3 linked regions of the Schizosaccharomyces pombe genome follow. The protein of the gene in region 2 interacts with the protein of the main gene of each other region in a pairwise test. Each region holds a gene or a part of one and is shown on either strand. Other genes may lie near its edges.

The links.
Region 1: the proteins of atg11 (region 2) and eso1 interact in a two-hybrid assay, tested with the Schizosaccharomyces pombe proteins (2 studies listed by BioGRID).
Region 3: the proteins of atg11 (region 2) and zfs1 interact in a two-hybrid assay, tested with the Schizosaccharomyces pombe proteins (2 studies listed by BioGRID).

Annotation. Positions count from the first base shown.
Region 1 is NC_003423.3:4,276,349-4,281,687, forward strand, and holds eso1 (mitotic cohesin N-acetyltransferase/DNA polymerase eta Eso1 fusion protein), read right to left. Parts: upstream 3,306-5,339; 5' UTR 3,244-3,305; coding exon 625-3,243; 3' UTR 541-624; downstream 1-540. Other genes in the region: SPOM_SPBC16A3.12C (triglyceride lipase-cholesterol esterase), read left to right, coding at 2-351, 403-540; ale1 (MBOAT family O-acyltransferase), read right to left, coding at 3,648-5,177. UniProt on the Schizosaccharomyces pombe protein: Probable acetyltransferase required for the establishment of sister chromatid cohesion and couple the processes of cohesion and DNA replication to ensure that only sister chromatids become paired together.
Region 2 is NC_003424.3:2,629,924-2,635,398, forward strand, and holds atg11 (autophagy associated protein kinase regulator Atg11), read right to left. Parts: upstream 3,629-5,475; 5' UTR 3,447-3,628; coding exon 666-3,446; 3' UTR 525-665; downstream 1-524. Other genes in the region: SPOM_SPAC7D4.05 (hydrolase), read right to left, coding at 1-62, 98-260; protein ahk1, read left to right, coding at 4,288-5,475. UniProt on the Schizosaccharomyces pombe protein: Involved in cytoplasm to vacuole transport (Cvt), pexophagy, mitophagy and nucleophagy. Recruits mitochondria for their selective degradation via autophagy (mitophagy) during starvation.
Region 3 is NC_003423.3:3,482,333-3,489,474, forward strand, and holds zfs1 (zinc finger protein), read right to left. Parts: upstream 5,115-7,142; 5' UTR 2,337-5,114; coding exon 1,122-2,336; 3' UTR 516-1,121; downstream 1-515. Other genes in the region: dynamin family GTPase Msp1, read left to right, coding at 1-277. UniProt on the Schizosaccharomyces pombe protein: Binds to specific AU-rich elements (ARE) in the 3'-untranslated region of target mRNAs and promotes their degradation. Binds to ARE present in the arz1 mRNA and stimulates the rate of arz1 mRNA decay.

The sequences.
Region 1 (5,339 bases), on a different chromosome or scaffold from region 2:
GATCCCCCAATTTTTGTAAAAATTGTCGATGTATCCCTTAAAATTTTATTCAACTGGGACCTATCCAACATTTCTCTTAATCAAAAACTTTGCGGTTATGCACATCTTTACTCTTTTTCAAGTGTAAAGAGTGTTGTTCACTGGCTTCAGATTATAAAAAACTGTACTTTCCAGCTTTATGACGACGATATGGCTCTTCTAGCTGGATATGGTTCACGCCATTACCAAGTTCCTCTGTTTCCTACGAATAATATCAAATGCCCAATGCTGATACTATGGGGAGGTAAAGATACTTTGATCAATATGGAAGTAATGAGAACTGCTCTTCCTCCCCATGCAAAGGAAGTTTCGGTAAGCCTTTTATTTTATAGGTTTGTTGCTCAATATGCTAATATAAGTTAGATTGCTCATTATGAACATCTTGACTTTCTATGGGGCCAGGATGTTAAAGAGGAAGTGTTCCCAGTTGTAATAGATGCCCTTAAGCATCATTCATTAGGCAAAGCCAAACATTTCGTTAAACAAAACGGTTTTCATTAATGATTAATTAATAATTTAAAAAAAAAACTTCTATATAACGCTTAGATAGATATTTAGAACAACTTTAATTTTGTCAGACTATTTTCAACTTTCATAAACAGCATATCGAAGTGACTTCGAAGAACCATTGTTTCGAGAACGATGCCACGAAATAATGAACTGTTTACCACTTTCACTAGGCTGACTAAAAGCAACTTCTGCAGGCGATATAACGTAACCGTAAATGAATTTTTTTAAAGCATTGTCTAATAGTAAACTTGCTATCCCTTGTTTGCGTCTTGAAGCTGATACCCAAATCCTGGAAATACCCAATACAAACCCCTTTCGTAGATTTTCGTTTTTTATATATACTGCGGAAGAGGTGCTATTGTTGTTGTTGAGTTCAAGTTCATCGACTATGTATGCAGAAGATATACGCTCTGCCAGAAGTAATCCGACACATTTCTTATCTGATATGAATAGAAATGTGGTATATTTATCTACCCCAATTGTTTCAATAGGCTCACTTGAAAGTTCGTTATTTACGAAAGATAAAGCTTCCTCTGCTTTTCTTTGATCAATTAATGAGCTTTCTGAATTTATGCTGTATATGCAATCGGAACTCAAACCATAGTTAACGCGATAAATAGGAGAGCATTGAAAGGACACAGTAACACCTCCTAGAACCCGAGAATGAAACCTAGAATGAAGCAAAATATCTTCTTCGCTCGTTGAATTGTACTCCATAGAACATTCTGAACAAGTTACGGTGGAATTAGCCAAATCTAAGTGTAACTGGGTCATGTTGTCTGAGCTGTTGGAAATTGCTTTTGGCGTTTGCTTTTTCCAATTTGGTGTCAGATTTCCACCGTTTCCTAAAAATGCGTCCAAAAATGCTCTTTTGTTGTTTGTTTCATCGGATAAAGGTGCATAATGCTTGCTACCGGTTTTCCTTCCATATGTTTTAGGCTTTACTTGCTTAGGTTTATCATGGGATGGCGGTACTAAGTTATTATAGCGTTCTTTTCTCGAAATGGAGAGAGCTATATGATAATCTTCATGTTCATTTCTTTCGGATAAAGTAATTTTCTGTTCGCATTCTTCACACGTGTAAGTTTCATCAGCTGAATTCTCCGTTGGTTTAGAAACAGCGGTCTGTTGTAGCATATCAAAAATCCCTTTACCTTTACCTCTTTTCAACCTTTTAGGTGACTTTATATCTTTTTCCGAAGATAATTCAAAAGAATTATTTTCCCTCATATTTTCGTTCAATAATTTAGCGCGTCCCTCAATAGAAGGTGAAACAGAAGTAGACATGTAGATTTCATCATTGGACTTTTTTAAAAAACCCTCAATTCCCCTAGAATTACGATCAACCTCTATGATGTTTTGAAAGCTAATAGATAAGTTTGAAATCGGATATACATCGAATTCCTGTTGCAGTTGACGCAACAGTTTGGATGTTGCTTCAACAATAAACTGAGTGCTAATATCAACATTCATAGGTATTTGACTTGACCTTGACTTTCTCAGAAATCTTGATACAACAGTCAAACAAATGGTCTTGGGCCTTCTCATTCCTTCAAGTTCAAGGAATCGTGATCGAAGATCAGATGCGAATACTTGAAACCAGTTAATTGCATCTTCTTCAGACTTCACTTTTTGCTGAGAAAAATTTTTAGCCGACAACATTGATTTAATCTGAACTTGTGTAGTAATCTCAGTGTTATCAATTCCATGGCACAAATTCCAAACGAGTGGACCGTTAGTTTGACCAAGCTTATCTATCAAAAAGTCCATACTCATATTCCAAACATCCTTAATAGAATCTGTTCCTAATAAATTAATTATTTCTTCTCCAAATTTTCCGCCCAGCATTCTTATATCAGTAATCTTTAATGACACTAAATAATCTTGAATTGCATTTTTCGTTAAAATAGTTTGCTTGTTTGGTTTATTACGCGAGCTGACAAGCTTTGAAAGCATTGGGTTAAAAGAAACTCCTGCTGAGCACGTGTATTTGAGTTGCAAGTATATATCATCGCGAATTTCTTTCACGATTTTTGCAGCGTAAAATAAAAAAACATCATCCCAATCCCTTTCATAATCTTCTTTCGTTCTATCTACAACTTCTTCTTCAATGACCATTCCAAACTCAGCAGGCCATAGTAGCACTGGAGCCTGCGGCAAAGCAACATTTGAGTCCTCAGAGGGAATTTTCAAGTAAGGATATTCCTCCAACACAATCCGTTTAACATCACTCGTAAGTTCAATAAAACATTCGTCAATACTAGCCTTCTTAACCACAGGCGCATGTTTCTTTATGATGTTAAGAATCTTAACGCTTTCGTGCCGATAAGGATCTAAACAGGTTTTATAGTAGTTAGGATTTGGGTTTTCATGGTACTTAGCCTCTGACTCCCCAGCTTTCCAAGTTTTTACATGAGCGGTACAAAGCTCTGGACATTTCTTTTTTGCTTCAGTAACTGTTTCATGGCGTGAAATATTCGCTGCACGGGCTGCGTAGTTTACAGCAATAAGCCCTTGCCATTGTTGAACAGCAAGGGGAACTGAATGGTCTAATCCTAGGCGAACACTTTCGACTTGAGCGTAAAAAGCATCCTGATCAATATGAGCTACAACCCTTAACGGTGAATTTTGTGTACCTGCTTTATCACAATATTGCAAGTCCTTCCAAGAGAATTTGCTTTTGCCTAATTCCATTCAGTTCATACCCTCAAAAAAGTTCTTTAATAAGAATCGCTCAAGTTCTATAGCGCGTTCGTGTTGAATTTAGTGGACTAAGGTACTAGATATAGCAACGTTACCTACTACCAGATACTAAAGCAAAATAAATTCAAACTCTCATAATGTTGTAACCAAAATAAATCATCAAAGGAAATTAGATGTTAAACTTAAAAACTGAATTGAGAGAAAACATTCAGGAATTTTATTTAAGAGACTACTTTAATATGTAAACATATATATAAACACAATGAATATACTGCCGCCATGAAAGGTATTGTATATGATGAACAATTAAGATGAAATTGCTGTTAACAAAGCTGCAAAATATTCAAATGCTTCAATTTATTGCATATGATGCTACCTCATAGCAAATTAATCCTTCATTCATCATTTTCAAAATCTTCTCTTTTGGGCACCGACATATTTAACATGTCCGTATCACTAGTGGATTTCATAGATTGTTCGTAACTTTTTAGTTTATAGCTGTTGACTCTGGATCGTATCTTATTATCTAATTTCGACCTTATTGGGGAATTGAACACAGCCAGAGCTATCAATATATATATATGCACAATAAAATATAGCTCTTTCCAAACGTGTATTGATTCTTTTAGATTCAAAAGAAGGAAAGAGATAATTAGATAGGAGAGAGAGAGGTTTGTTGCTACCATACCAATAACATCATAGACTCGCTTAAAAGGCCCAGGAGTTTCCATATCTGGTTTAAGGAAAAATGGGCGAACATGGCGACGCGTGTATTTTGCAACTGTTTGGATAAAGGCTGCGGAAACAAAAGTCAAATAATATCCAGCAGAAACTCCATGCCACATTGCACTAACAGTGAATGTGCTTAGCGTACTTTTGAACCCTGGACGCTTTCCCTTCTTTGCAACTCTCAAATAAACGTAATTTCGAAGCCATTTATTGGTATTCATGTTCCAAGCCTCAAGAGCACATTTGATATTATCTGCGAATTCGAACTTAATAGGGTCAATATTCTTCACTCGATCCCAACGAGGATGCTTAGAAGAATCCAGGCCATTATAACCAATGCCTGACAATATACATGCACCGTCAGAAAGTTCCCATGCGCCATAATATTTCATTCTTGCAACAAAAGCAGTTATGCAAACGTATCCATATTTTAGCAAAATAGGGGAGGAAGCAAACTTAGGTGTAAGTAGAAACTTTAAAGGATAGATTGAGCTTCCGGTAATAAATAAAATCAGCCACAACAGACCTCGCCAGCAACGACCTAAGGCTGGTTCCAAACTGTGTGGTGTTATCTGTTTTTCATAAGGATCAGCCAAAGGCTTAAACATAGAAAGGGTTATAAACCTTTCGTAATCAACATAATCAAAAGCTGGACCAACAAGTAATGAGGGAAAGAAAAATACGTATCCAAGGAAATACAAGATATTAGGAATCTTTCTCAACGCGCGGTCTTTTTGATAAGAAGATAATTCACTTGAAGGAAGACGACCGTCGTAAACAGACCAGGCAAACGCTGTAAGCTTCATACATAGTACCATTTGTGAAGCAGTAATATCAGTATTTTCTGAAGGGTAAATGTACCGAATAACATGGCTGCTAAATGTATGGCCAAGGATTACTATAAATATGATCCATGGCATTCGTGACGATCGATAAAACGCGGCCACGAAATATGTGAACAAAGCGTCAAATAGCAAAACTAAAACGCCATCGTAAAGATGATGAACACCAATGAGATAAAATAAACCTATGCTTATTGAAAATAAGTTTCTAATCCATGGAGCCGAAGGAAGTCTTTTTAGTATGCCGGCAAACGGGTATGCTGAAAGAAAACAAAACAGTAACTTGAGCTGATCCGGGTGGACTCCAAGGAAAGAAGAGAAGTATTCAAATGGTATATCAATAAGATAAGCCATTGTTAATGTAGACAATACTGTCTCCTGCTTTGGGAATGCCTTTGAATTGAACAACTGATATTAAACACTCAACAATCGATTATTCTTTAATCACGAATGTACAGTGAAGATTGTACCCAGAGTTTGGTGTTGGTGAAGTTTTAGCTCATGAACACCAACAAT
Region 2 (5,475 bases):
ATGAGGATTTAATCCTGACTTTTTTCCATGATTCTTATGCTTTTCACTGAAATCCTTGAATGCTAAATTATTAGATAAATAGAAACCAAAAGCTAACCTTTATTACTATTGTGTTCAATTTCATCAATAGTTGCATGAACTCCATACTTCTGAGCGACTTCGCTGTACACAATTGGAACAGGTTTACTTAAATGAAGGATTGTTCCAAAAGCATCGAACGTAACCAACTTGATCTTTTGGATATTTTTTGAGGGAATCATAATTCCAGGTTGTACTTTGATGGGACACACTACACAAAGCAATTTACATAAGGTACTCCTTACCACCAGTGCGTTGTTCGGTGTGATAAATAATATTTGCAAATCACTTTTATTGCGAGCGATTGCGTTCTACATATTAAATAATATACGAATAGATTAAAAGTTCATTAAAAATTTATCATGTTACAAGACGAGAGACACGCTACAGCAATAGTAGTCGTTAATTTACGTCGGATACCTTACTAGGCGAGACCAAAAAACAAATTTCAGTAAATAATGCCATAACAGATCAAAACCTGAAAAAATAGAAGTATGATAATACCAAATGTCTGTCATATAGAATCAGTCCCACAAATACAAGCAAAGAAAAAGCAAGTGAAGGTATAAGCTAGGTCACATAATGATTTAAAATCTTTCATCGATAGCTTCCACTAAATGCCATATTGTACCTGAAGGCAGGCGAAGCCATTTATCCGTCGAATCATCAGCAGTACGATCTTCAATGGAAGTTACCCTTCCTAACATCCAGTCGCGGCTTTCAAGTTTCAAATGCGGTTGAGTGTTCAAATAATAATGAGGAGCGTTAACATTAAAAGCCGCCCACACCTTTTTGTTACCGGCGGTACGTCGAGTAGGCAAAAACAAGACCAAGGATCCTTGTTTGAAATTCCTTAATGAGACTTTACTTTGAGAGTCCAAAATAGCTTTCAGCGCCTTGTCCCTGTTAGATTGAAATTCACGTTTCCAACGAAGTTCATGATTATGTGCTTGAGTCAAAACACTGACAACAAAGTTATGGAAAGAGTCAAAATCTAAAGAACTCATTCTGTTCAAAAATTCCTGGAAATTCCTATCAGCATCCTCCCCATCCATCCAATAAAGATACTGTAAATCTTTGGAATTAAATTCAATTTGGCGATCTGGAATCGATGCATGGCCATCTCTTTCGTTATCTGAATCAAATCCAGGCTGAGTAACGCATTCCCGAAGAACAGACTGTAACTCATTACACCGGAATACAATGGTATAAAGTTTCTGAGTTAATATCTTACATTGTTCTTTTCGATTCTCGGAAAGTTTGAGTAAATCAGCTTTCTCTGCAAGAGCATAATCTCTCTCTTCAATAATATGTTGTACTGCTTCGGCATCTTTTGCAAGAGTAGCGTATTCGCCCTTTTGCTTCAAACTCGTGAGTTGAAGCTTGAAAGCATTATAAAGTTCTTGCAAGCTATCAACTTTGCCCTCAAATACGGAGTAAAGGTTTAATATGTTCGGTTCATTAGAATGCATCTCCTCGTTTGATTGCTGTTCTGCAACTGCCGCTTCATTTTTCGTAAGCAGTTTCCGTGTTGATGAAAGTTCCTCCTGTAAATTTTCGTATTTTTGTAGCACTTCCTCATTTTCAGTTTCGAGGTATTGGATCTTTTCTTCCTTCCCTTGAAGCTCAATTAATAAGTCCTCATTTCTTTTATTTACCAAATCTAATTCGTTGCGTAATTGATTAACCTCATCTTGAAGTCGTAATATGTGGCTGTCGGTAAAAGAAGTTTTGCGATTAGTTAATTTACGAATTACGTTTAGAGGCACAATACTAGGGGAAACACGGTAAAATGGCTGAGAAGAATTAGACTGCTCATTGATGGGTGGATGTGGAGCATTTGGAGATAAACCATCATTGTTAATGTTATAATTAAAGCCGTTTTGATGGCTTAACATTGCCTCTAAATTATTGCAACGATTTTGATACATTGCCAATTTTTCATGTAATGAATTGTTCGCTTGAACCGTATTGGAAACGGCTTCTCGAGGACTTCCAGGAAAGCCCAAATATTCTGAGAGCCGATTGCTTAGCATTTGATGAAAAGTTTGGTAATTCGGATGTGCTTGAATATTGAGTAAATAATTAGAAATTTCGTCACGAGTTAAAACTGGTAAGTACTTTAGCTGGCCATGATTAAAAAGCAAATTAGAGAAATGACTGAGCCAAGACTTCCTAAGAGAAAGCTCCTTCTCCTGGTCTAAAGGAAGAGAACTATCATGGCTTACATTGTATGATTCCTGCCATTCAGTCCTCCTCAGTGCCTCCATTAAAATGTCGATATATAGCGAAAAAATGTTTCGAGACTGAGAAAGAACGAATTTGCTTCTGTCAAGCTCTTCTGCTATTTGTCGAAGATATTCGTACAATGCATCATATCTAAGAGAAACCTTATAAAAGGAAAGCCAAAAAGATTTCAAAGATATTAGTGATGACTTTCTAGAACTTTTTAATTCCGACAGATTACTTTGAAGTTTTTCCATGCAATCAGTAATTTCGGTTTCGTAATTACATTTTGGTTTGATTTGAGAAGTAGTTGAAGTTGACTCTATTTTAAGGATCTCTTGCAATATATTGGCTGCATCCTGAGCGACGGAACGTAGATGATAATAAGCATCATCTCCTTCCTTGATTGAAGGAACTTCCTTGAATGGGGAAACGATAATACTATTTGCGGCGCCAATGCACTGTTGGACTCGTTTTTGAGCTTCAGCATAACGAGCTGAAATGGAGTTTAACCAGGAGTCCAATTTAGTCCAATTTGTTGAAAGTATTTTAAGAGGAGTAATGGGTAAAGAACCAGTTGGTAGAGCGAGGAAATCATGAAGTAAATCAGACACAGATACTCGATCTAGTCTTTCGTAGAAAACGAAAAGTAAATCTTTCATACCAGATTGTCTTCTTTGTAAATAATTCATTGCAACTTCTGGAGAAACAATACTAGTAGAATACTCATCATGGCATACGCTTAATTGATTATGAATCTTTGAAGAAGACTCTAAAATATCAGATAATAATGAAAGACACTTGCTGATTTTATCTTTCCATTGATCTGAAGAAGAATCAGCTATAATCCCAGTAAGTACATTAGATATTGGTTGTCCTTTCAGAGAAGGAATAGAAGGAATTTTATCACCATCGTAGGTGAAAGTCAACAAGTTTTGATCTAGTACGTAAATAACCACATCACTTTCACTATTTAGTACGGTTTCATTCAAAGACATTCCGTTCGGCAATAATAGTTTTGCTTCATCACTAAGTCCAATATTGAGCTCCATAATCCAAGCTACAAGATTTTGGGGAGTCCATTGTACATTATCTATGGTCCAACTCTTTCCGGAGAATGAATCATTCAATCGAAAACGCATACTGACCTATTGTATTGCTTAACTTTATCATTCGCGATTCCCCAACATTAAACTTGAAATATTTGATCTAAAAGAAAACTCAATATCAGTTATTTATAATCCGTTGCATATAGTTATTCTCTGTCCTTATATTCCGTTTTGTTTGGTAAGTTGGCGGGTTCTATTTGGTTTAGGCGATTGTTGGGTACTAACTACCAAAAGGAGATTGGCATTGTATGAACACTGAGTTGAAGCTGTAAGACAATACAGCTTAAAATTTCAAATGTCTTTTCATTTAGCTTAAAAAAACAATTTTAATTATTGGTTTTATTATGTTTGTCTACTGAAATATATGTCATATGTAGCCGTATACCCTCAAGCTGGTGGGTTCGGAAACTCAGCCTTAACCAAGCATCTACACTGGGTGTGAACGAAAGTGTTGGGGATGCTAATTTACATTGCGGATTTCATATATTTAATTTAAAGATATCTTCTACTTGTTTACTTTTCATTCTTTTAGAATACAAGTATTCTAAACTCGGAAGTATTTTTCTTGTTTTTTTAACCGCGAATCTTTTGGTTACCGATTTCTCTGTCTTTTATCGATAAAGTTTTTAAAAAATTAAAAAAGTCAAAATTTCTCTACTGTAGGAAAAACTTTTGAGCATCTTTTAGCATATTTGGTACATTTTTTTCTGGCATTTGCATAGCTTGTCCTTTAAATCTTCATTTCTTTATTAGTGGTGATTGCACGGCTCATGTTAATTAATTTGGTTTTAATCTAGGGATTAATTATATTCTTTTTATTTGCATTTCACACTTATTCTTTTCTTTACATTTAGCTTCATTTCTGAAATTCTGAATGGGTGACTTTCAATCACGATATGAGATCCTTGCCGCTATTATGGGTCCTCCCAATACAGCCTCCTTTAAAGAGGAAGAGCATTCGGGTTCCCAAACAAAAAACTATCCTGTTGTGGTAAAATGTATTCAGGAACATGATCCCGTCGATACAACCAATGTGCTTGTAGCTGACGACCTTGATTCGAACTTTGAACCATTTTCGATTACAGATGATTATGGTAAATATGAAAACACTTTAGTAAGCCATTCCTCAACAATCTTAAATGAGCCTTACAACGAATCACCCTCATCATCATCTTCTGATTCCTCTTCTCGTTCTACCTCTCCTTTTTCTCAGTTGTCTTCTCAAAGCCTACGCCTTAATGCGGAGGAGATAGCGCCTTCTAGCTTAATAAATAAGGCCGTCCAATCTACCTTACGTCTTTCGGAGCCACTGGTTTCTCCAATAAAGTGTCCTTTATCCGAGCAATTCATCAATTTTATTAATCAGCAGGATTCTGATAAGGTAGTTCTTATAAGAGGGTTTTTATTACCACATTTGGCTTCTTTAACCACTAAAAACGTTTCCGAACCGGAATTGGATAAACTTAGGCATTCTTTGTATAACTGGTGGGTATCCATTCTTCGACGTTTACAATCTAATATTTCTACTTCAGAACGTATCACATATACAAAGGCCATACTTGCTATCGCCAAGCATCATTGTTGGAACAAAGTGGAACACTCTGCTTTATTGTACTTGGAACACCAATTAATACTTTACGATACATTGACATTTGTAGTTCATCTGCTTTCTCAAAAGTCCTTGCCGTATTCATTAACGACATTTTGTGCGAGTATCTTGGTTCTCTCCTTTTTTCAACTTCCACTTTTTGCCGACCATTTCTTGAGCGCATTAGATGTAAAGAAAAAGTACATTGATGCTTTGGGCTCATCCTTCGACGAAAAAATAATGATTATTTCACATAAGTATCTTGCGCCATTTTTTACTGACCAATTTTCCTCGACTATGCATCCGTATTACCCAAAACGAACTTCAACGCCTTTTACTATAGGTTACAATAGGCAGCCTATTGAATTCACACGAGCATGGATGCGTCGCTTTAAGTCTTCTACAGGTGGATTCTTTTTCGAGTTTTTATCATGCTATCATTCTTTTTTAGCTTTGCAATTCTCTTTCGAATTA
Region 3 (7,142 bases), on a different chromosome or scaffold from region 2:
TGAAATTTTTTTAAATGCCGTTTCTGATAAACTGGTTAATACCGCAGTTTTATTTATTAATATTGAGCTGCTTTCTGAGTTTTATTACCAATTTCCACGTGAACTGGATCAGCGTCTCATCCATTCTTTGAGTTCTGAACAGTTGAATGCATTTGTCAATGAAAATCCTCGTCTCAAGTCACAGCTACAGTTGCAGCATAAGCGGCAATGTTTGGAATTGGCTCTGCAGAAGATCAATTCATTAGTTATCTTGGAACAGCAAGCCGATAGCGATTAAATAACGAGTAAAGTAGTCCGAGTTTAATGAATTTTTTTAACTAACTTTCCAAAAATGCTTGTATGTGTTACTATGTATAGCCTGGTAGTTTTCTCGTGAATAAAATTGTTTGTAAGCAGTACAGAATTGCGTTACAAATTTTTGATGCATATTGCAAATCTATGTTTATGAAAAGTGCACAACATTCAAATAACTACTTAAATTTTTGCAGTAACGTTACTGTTATTCAAATAATACATAGGCTTCGCTCATCAAATCTCCCTGATTGCATAAATCATTTTCGTAATAAGATTGGGTATTTTAAGAAACTCCCTTGATTCGAATTATAACAGTATATTACAGATACCACACAAATCTAATAAAACCCCGATTCATGCGTATCGCATTGCTAGACGAAGTAAACAAGATTCGAATTTAATACTATAAATATATATTGTCCAATCTTCTCATAACTCTTTAAATCGCCATTCTGCAAAAAGCTAAAGGTACATGATTTGCAAAAATAAAAACAGTACCCTGACATATGACAGAGTAACTAACTCATGATCTTCTTTAATTTTTTTCTCTTATAAATTCTATCTTGACCAATAAGGTCATCAAATAAATAAAGAATAAAGTGTGAACATGACTGGCAAACTCAAACCTTGCGATAAAACCATAAATAAAAACAAGGTAAAGGCGATTGCAAAAGAAAAGCTCACATAATGTTACAGAAGAACAATATAAATAATAACCGTATAAGAAAACCAAGGAGGATAGGAAAGTAAGCGTCATAATAAATTAATCTCACCCAGATTGCATAACAACAAAGAACAAAAGTCATCTTATACAAGCTGATGTGATATCAAGGAGATTGCTTAATAGTTGCACTTTTTTGAGCATTGGATTCATCATGCAAAAAGCAGCATCGCAATCCGTAAGGACAATAACCATACATCATGAAAGATCGGCAACGCTCGCTTTTGTATTTTGGGTGACGAGGAGGTTCTTTCAGTTCCTGGTTGCCATGCGCAAATTGACATTTAGAGCCATAACGGCAAGTTCCACTAATTTGCCAATTCTTGCAAGGCTCGGTCTTATATAATGCGCGCTTGCCGTTGGGAGCTACCCCATTACTACTGCCAGAACCATGAGGATGGCTAGCTGAACCCTTAGCTTGGCGAAAATCTCCTGCAGCTGATGGTTGAGGAACGAAAGGTTTGGAAGCCTCAGTAAGAGGACTATTACCCGAAGGTGAAAATTGCTTTGATAAATTGGAAGGAGCATTGCGAATTGAGGCATTCGATGCTGTAGGCTTGATGGGAATAACCCCCGCTGAATGCGATTGTCTAACTAACGACGGTTTAGCAACAGAGTTGCGGATGTTTGTCATTGATTTCGATTGAACGCACAGCTTAGGTTTTCTAGACATGGTAGATTCCGGTTGACCATGAACAAAAGGAAACGAAGTTTGAGAGTTCTCATCGACGGATACAGGGACGCCAGCCATGTTCAAAGACATGGCCAGTGATTTGGAATCATCGTGGAGATTGGCAAGGCCGGAAAAATCAAGACTACCACTACCAGTGCTACTACGAGAAGGAAGACTCTCCAAGGATGATATAGGTGAAGGATGATTGCTTGTGTTTCCATGAGGAGAACTACCAGAATGTAAATAGCTAGTAGCGTTGGAAGAAAGTAATGAAGGTGTCCATGCGTATCCCTGTGGGTTAGAAGAAGAATTGTGATGCCATGGCCAACCGTCCATTTCAGGAGAAACAGATAAACTTGAATCCAATGGACGAAGCTGGGGCATGACTGAAGAAGGGAAAACTTCATCAGAGGCGAGAAGACTAGATGTCTTTAAACTGCCCAAATTTGTAGATGGCTTGTGAAGTAAAGATGAGGAGTTGGCGTAGGAGTCAAGGAATGATGGACTTATTAAACTGGGTCCTGCATTAACAGACGTAGTAGACTGAGATAGTTTTGAGTTGACAAGGGGATCACTCTTATAATTGTAGGGGGGCCATTGGCGAAAAGCCAGAGGTACTTGAGGTCGAGACATAGGAGAATAAACCATGGTTAAAAGAATAAAAAACAGACACGCAATAAATTAATGAAGTTCACTAGAAAAAAGTGATACAATAGAAGATTAGTTATAAACGAACAAAGAAGTTGTAAAATGAATCAAAAAAAGGTTGCGCAGAATAACTTAAAAAATTCCAGTAAAAAACTTGTGTTAAATAGAATTATGGAATCAGGAACTTGAAAAAAACGTCAACCTTCAAAATAGAATTACAGGGTAATCACCGAAAGTAATATGCAGAAAAACGAGAGAAACGTAGAGTTAAAAAGAAAACACGCAAATTTAAGATGAAAATCAATAGTATAGAGACGCTGTTTTTTCAGAAGTCGAACAGAAAAGATACAAGAAAACGGAGAGAAACCACACAATGATATAAGGAAAGATTTTGAGAAGGAAGTAAAAGTATAGAAGACAAAAGTTTAATAGATGGATGTATTGTGTTTGTGACCCAAAGCAATCCTTTTCAAAAAACAGTCGTCAAACAAAGAAAAAATCCGAGTTGAATGCAAATTTTAGGGAATAAAATTTAAACCAAAAGAACAAAAACGCCTTTTTTTTCTCTGAAGTAAGTGAATACAACAGATGAACATAAAACACAAATCTCAAAACACAACAAAATGAGACTAATCGTAAATCCTTAATGTATAAAAAAACCTAATAAGGGAACGCTTTTAATATACGAAGCACAAAAAAAAGGGAATTTGCGGATATAAAGGGAAAACGTTAAAGTTAGTGCCAATGTGCAAGGTGAGCATCAAACAGGAGTTTTATCACTGATATAGGATAAAAGCGAGATTTGAAATGAAAAAAGAGTGAGAATTGATGAGGAGAGTAATCAGTAGAAAGAAATAAGAAATTGAAACAGAAAAAAAAATTTCAAAATCGAAAGATGGGGTGTTTTTTCAGCAAAAGATAATATCTTGTCCAAAGAAATATAGGGATTATCAACCAAACCGACTATTGCTGCAAAGATACAAAAGTGGGATGGAGAAAAGAACAGAGCCCAATTTAAAGTATTTTAAATAATTTCTCTTTTAGAGTACTTTAAAAACGTCGAAAGAAATGGCGAATCAAAAGAATAAATCAATATCAGATAAGGATTGCCACAAAAAGCTTTAAGGGGATATGCGAAAGTTTCAACAAATAAAACGCAAATATACTAAGATGTTAATATATCTGTTACGTTAAACAGTAATTGAGAGCGTTTAGGAGCTCTTTTGCTTCGATATCAGAAAAGAGAAATAAAATTGAAAAGAGAATGGTTTTCCAACAAAGAAAAAAACCCAGAGCTTGACTCAGAATGAAGAAGAGAAAACAAATCTAACAGAGACAAGAAAACCGGTTGAAAGGAATAGACTAAAACAAACAGCTACGAAAACAACTTTCAATCCGAGATAAATGTTTTGTCAACGTAAAACGGAATTTTTTCACACTGCAGAAAAAAAGTATTCAACGGAAAGAACAAACGGTATCTCAGGCAAGAAATTGAGAAATTGAGAAAAAGGATGAGATGCCGATATTCAAACAGTGATGAATTTGAAAAAAACAGACACACACACGGACACACAAAGAAAGATTCAGCAAAGTCAAAAGGCTTTCAACTATTCTGGAGGAAAGTGTTGTGGTGGTAAGTCGGTAAGTTAGAGGTCGATGGTAATAGAAGTTGGTTGAACGATTACGTTGTTGTTTCGTCCTGTCCTGTCTGGTCCCTGACCTGTTATGTTGATGCAGAGAAGAAGAAAAAGGGCGGCTAAAAGCAAATAACACAAACTAAGAATAACGAAATTCGCAACAGCTCGTAAAAGTGTCCGAAAAAGAAAAGACGGAAAATTCCGGTATATATAGAAAAGGATTAATCGGTGGAAAAAAAATGAAGGATTGATGGCTAGATGGAATACACAGTGCGTGTGTACGTTTTAAAAAAAACCCAAAAAAAATTGCAAAAGGAGAAAAGGGAAAGCTAAATTGTAAACGGGTAAGAAGGAAAGCAATATAGCACGCGATTGACAACCGTTCCAACAAGAAAAATTTTTCCAAAGAGAAAAAGCCGCGCACTAATCGTAATCGAGTTAGCCGTAGGAAATAAAAATAAATAAATCCCAAATAAGTAGGTGCTTGGTAATATAGAAAAGTGGTTCCCTCTAATGATGAAATAGTGCAATCAAGGAAGGAAACGTAGATATTAAAATGGAACAAACTTGCACGTGTTTTTGAAGGAAAGGAAGAATTCTAGTAATGTCAAGTCACTTAGCTTTGCTGTTGATACAACACAAGCCGATTAGCAAAATATTGTAGAAGAGAAGCAGAAAGTCGTGATAAGAGAAAAAGAGAAAATCGACAGAATAAAAGAAAATTGTCAAAAACCACAATTGTATACGATTAATCAATTTACAGCACGTAGCAGGTCCGGTCGAAAAGGAGGAGCAAGGCTAGGAAGCCAGCAGTTTCAATGTCGTGTCGGGCAAGAAGGAAGGAAAAGTGAGTAAAGTAAAGTAAAAGAGAGCACGACAATAGTGTAGTACACAGTATCCAAATATGCTAGGACGATAACAATAGTGTTTCGATACGCAACGACCCCGGTACAGAAATTGAGGTTATTTCAAGGTTACACGCAATCAATATATATATGGGACAACAAAAGAGATGAAATTTTTTTTTGTTTAAAACACAAAGAAACCAATTATCAATGTGTTAAGATTAGTTAATTGTGTTCGAGCATCAATGCCACTTTATACTACGTAAAGTCAACGACCTAGAAGATGTCGAAAGAGCAAGTTGATGGACTCAACAAGCCCTGTGCTTACAAGTTGTTTAAAAGTGGGGAATGTCGGTAAAATCAGTGGTATGTGCAAAAGACACTCAGTGCGGATGTTGTGGCGCAGTACACTACAGTGTTGAAATGGAAAGATGGCAAACGTGAGCAAGGACAGATGGAGGAGCTTTCAAAAAAAGAAAAATTTACAAAGTAAATTAGAAAGTCATAAAACAACTCCGAGAATAAAATTATCGGTAGAATTACAATAGGGAAAGGGGAAGCATTGCATAGAATGGCGGTGTATTGGTTCGAAAAGTGCGTGCTCTAAAGGAATGCGATTTAAAAAAAGTAGTACAGTATTAGTTGTTTTAGGTAAAGACGAGGGAATTGGAATAAATTTTTTTGATGCAGGCTATTTTTTAATTTATGAGCAGTTCTATATTCTATATGAAACAAAATGTATTGGTATTTTATTTTATTTTATTTTATTTTATTTTATTTTATTTTATTTTTACACATATTATCAAAAAGAATAGTTTTTCGTTTTTGAACAAATTTTTTTCTAATTTCCTTGGTGTAGATGCATGCATGGCAATAGCATGTTTGTTATCCCTTCTACACGCAATCTACTGTGGGCACAATCCCCAGTGTTTGTTTGGTAATTGTTCTTCCATTCATTGGAGAGTATTGGCGATAAATTGTAGCTGATTGGGATAATGAACGGAAGACACGTACTTACCATTGCTCAAAAGGCCCAGAAAGTTTACCTCCACACTGGGGCGTGTTCAAATCTACATTGTAAAGTAAGATAGCGGGATGGTCTTTGAGCACGATAGGATCCGGAAGCATGCATACGAAGCTGGAGTTCTCGACTGGACAGCTCATTTTTACTACAGACAAATGTGGTCATACGGAGGACTAATAAAAATTACGGAAGGCGTTGTTATGCATCGGCAATGCTTTTGCTTAGAGTAGCAGCGGGAGATGGAGATGGCAAAACGAGTTGCAAGAACCATCCATCAAAAAGACATAAACAAACGTAAAAAAGACAAGAGTAAGGATATCTAAATAAAAGTTGAAAAATGGAATAAATGAATAAAGTACAAATGAAATTGATGAATAATTTGAAATATAAAAGCTATTATTGACAGTATCTGAGTGATGATTGAATTTTGGCAAACACGACGGAGAATACGAATTACGGCATGATACAAAAGATAGTCTACCTAATTTTGGGTTTCAAAACTATTTTTGTTTAAAAAAAATTTTTATTAAATTATTTATTGATATTTTCTTTATTTTTTTTATTTTTTTTTATTTTGGCAAAGGGAGAACGAGGAGGGGTTAAGGGGTCGGTCAGGTGTTCAGCTAGGAGGAATTGCGCTATGTAAAAGAACAAAGGGAAGTTGATCTTGCTAGTAAAACAATATTAAAATATCAAATTATAATAACAATGATAATACTACTCAAATCGAGAAAACGGCCGATTCGCTTTCTTTAGCATGTTGCTTGGGTTACAGTGGGTCGAGGAAAAGCAAAGAATTGAAAGTACCCCATCCATCATACATACCCCTTTATTCTCGGTAAAATGATTTAACAGAAAACAGAAAAACAGAGATTTCTAGACCTAAGTGTCTTCATTTTAAACATATAGGCGTTGCTAGTGAAGCAAATCCATCGTATCATGATGAATTCATCAAAACCGGCAATCACAAATTGTCATTGTACGAAACACGTAAAACTGGTAAATTCATGCCACATGCGTATCGACCGAATGAACTGACTGATGATGGTGAAAACGTACACTCAATTCATATACGGAAGTTTAGTCAATAATGTGTTGTGTAACGGAATAATCTGTTATTTATTATACTGTAAGCTACGCAGTTTGGTATCTGATTTAAGGATACGTAGAACTGCGGTGAGTTTTCCTTGTGATCTATTATATTACAATACACAGGTTGTATAAGTAGCAACTGAGTATAGGTATTGTATTAACTGGGTTATAATGTTACCTATCACTAATATAGCTCATAACTGAACTG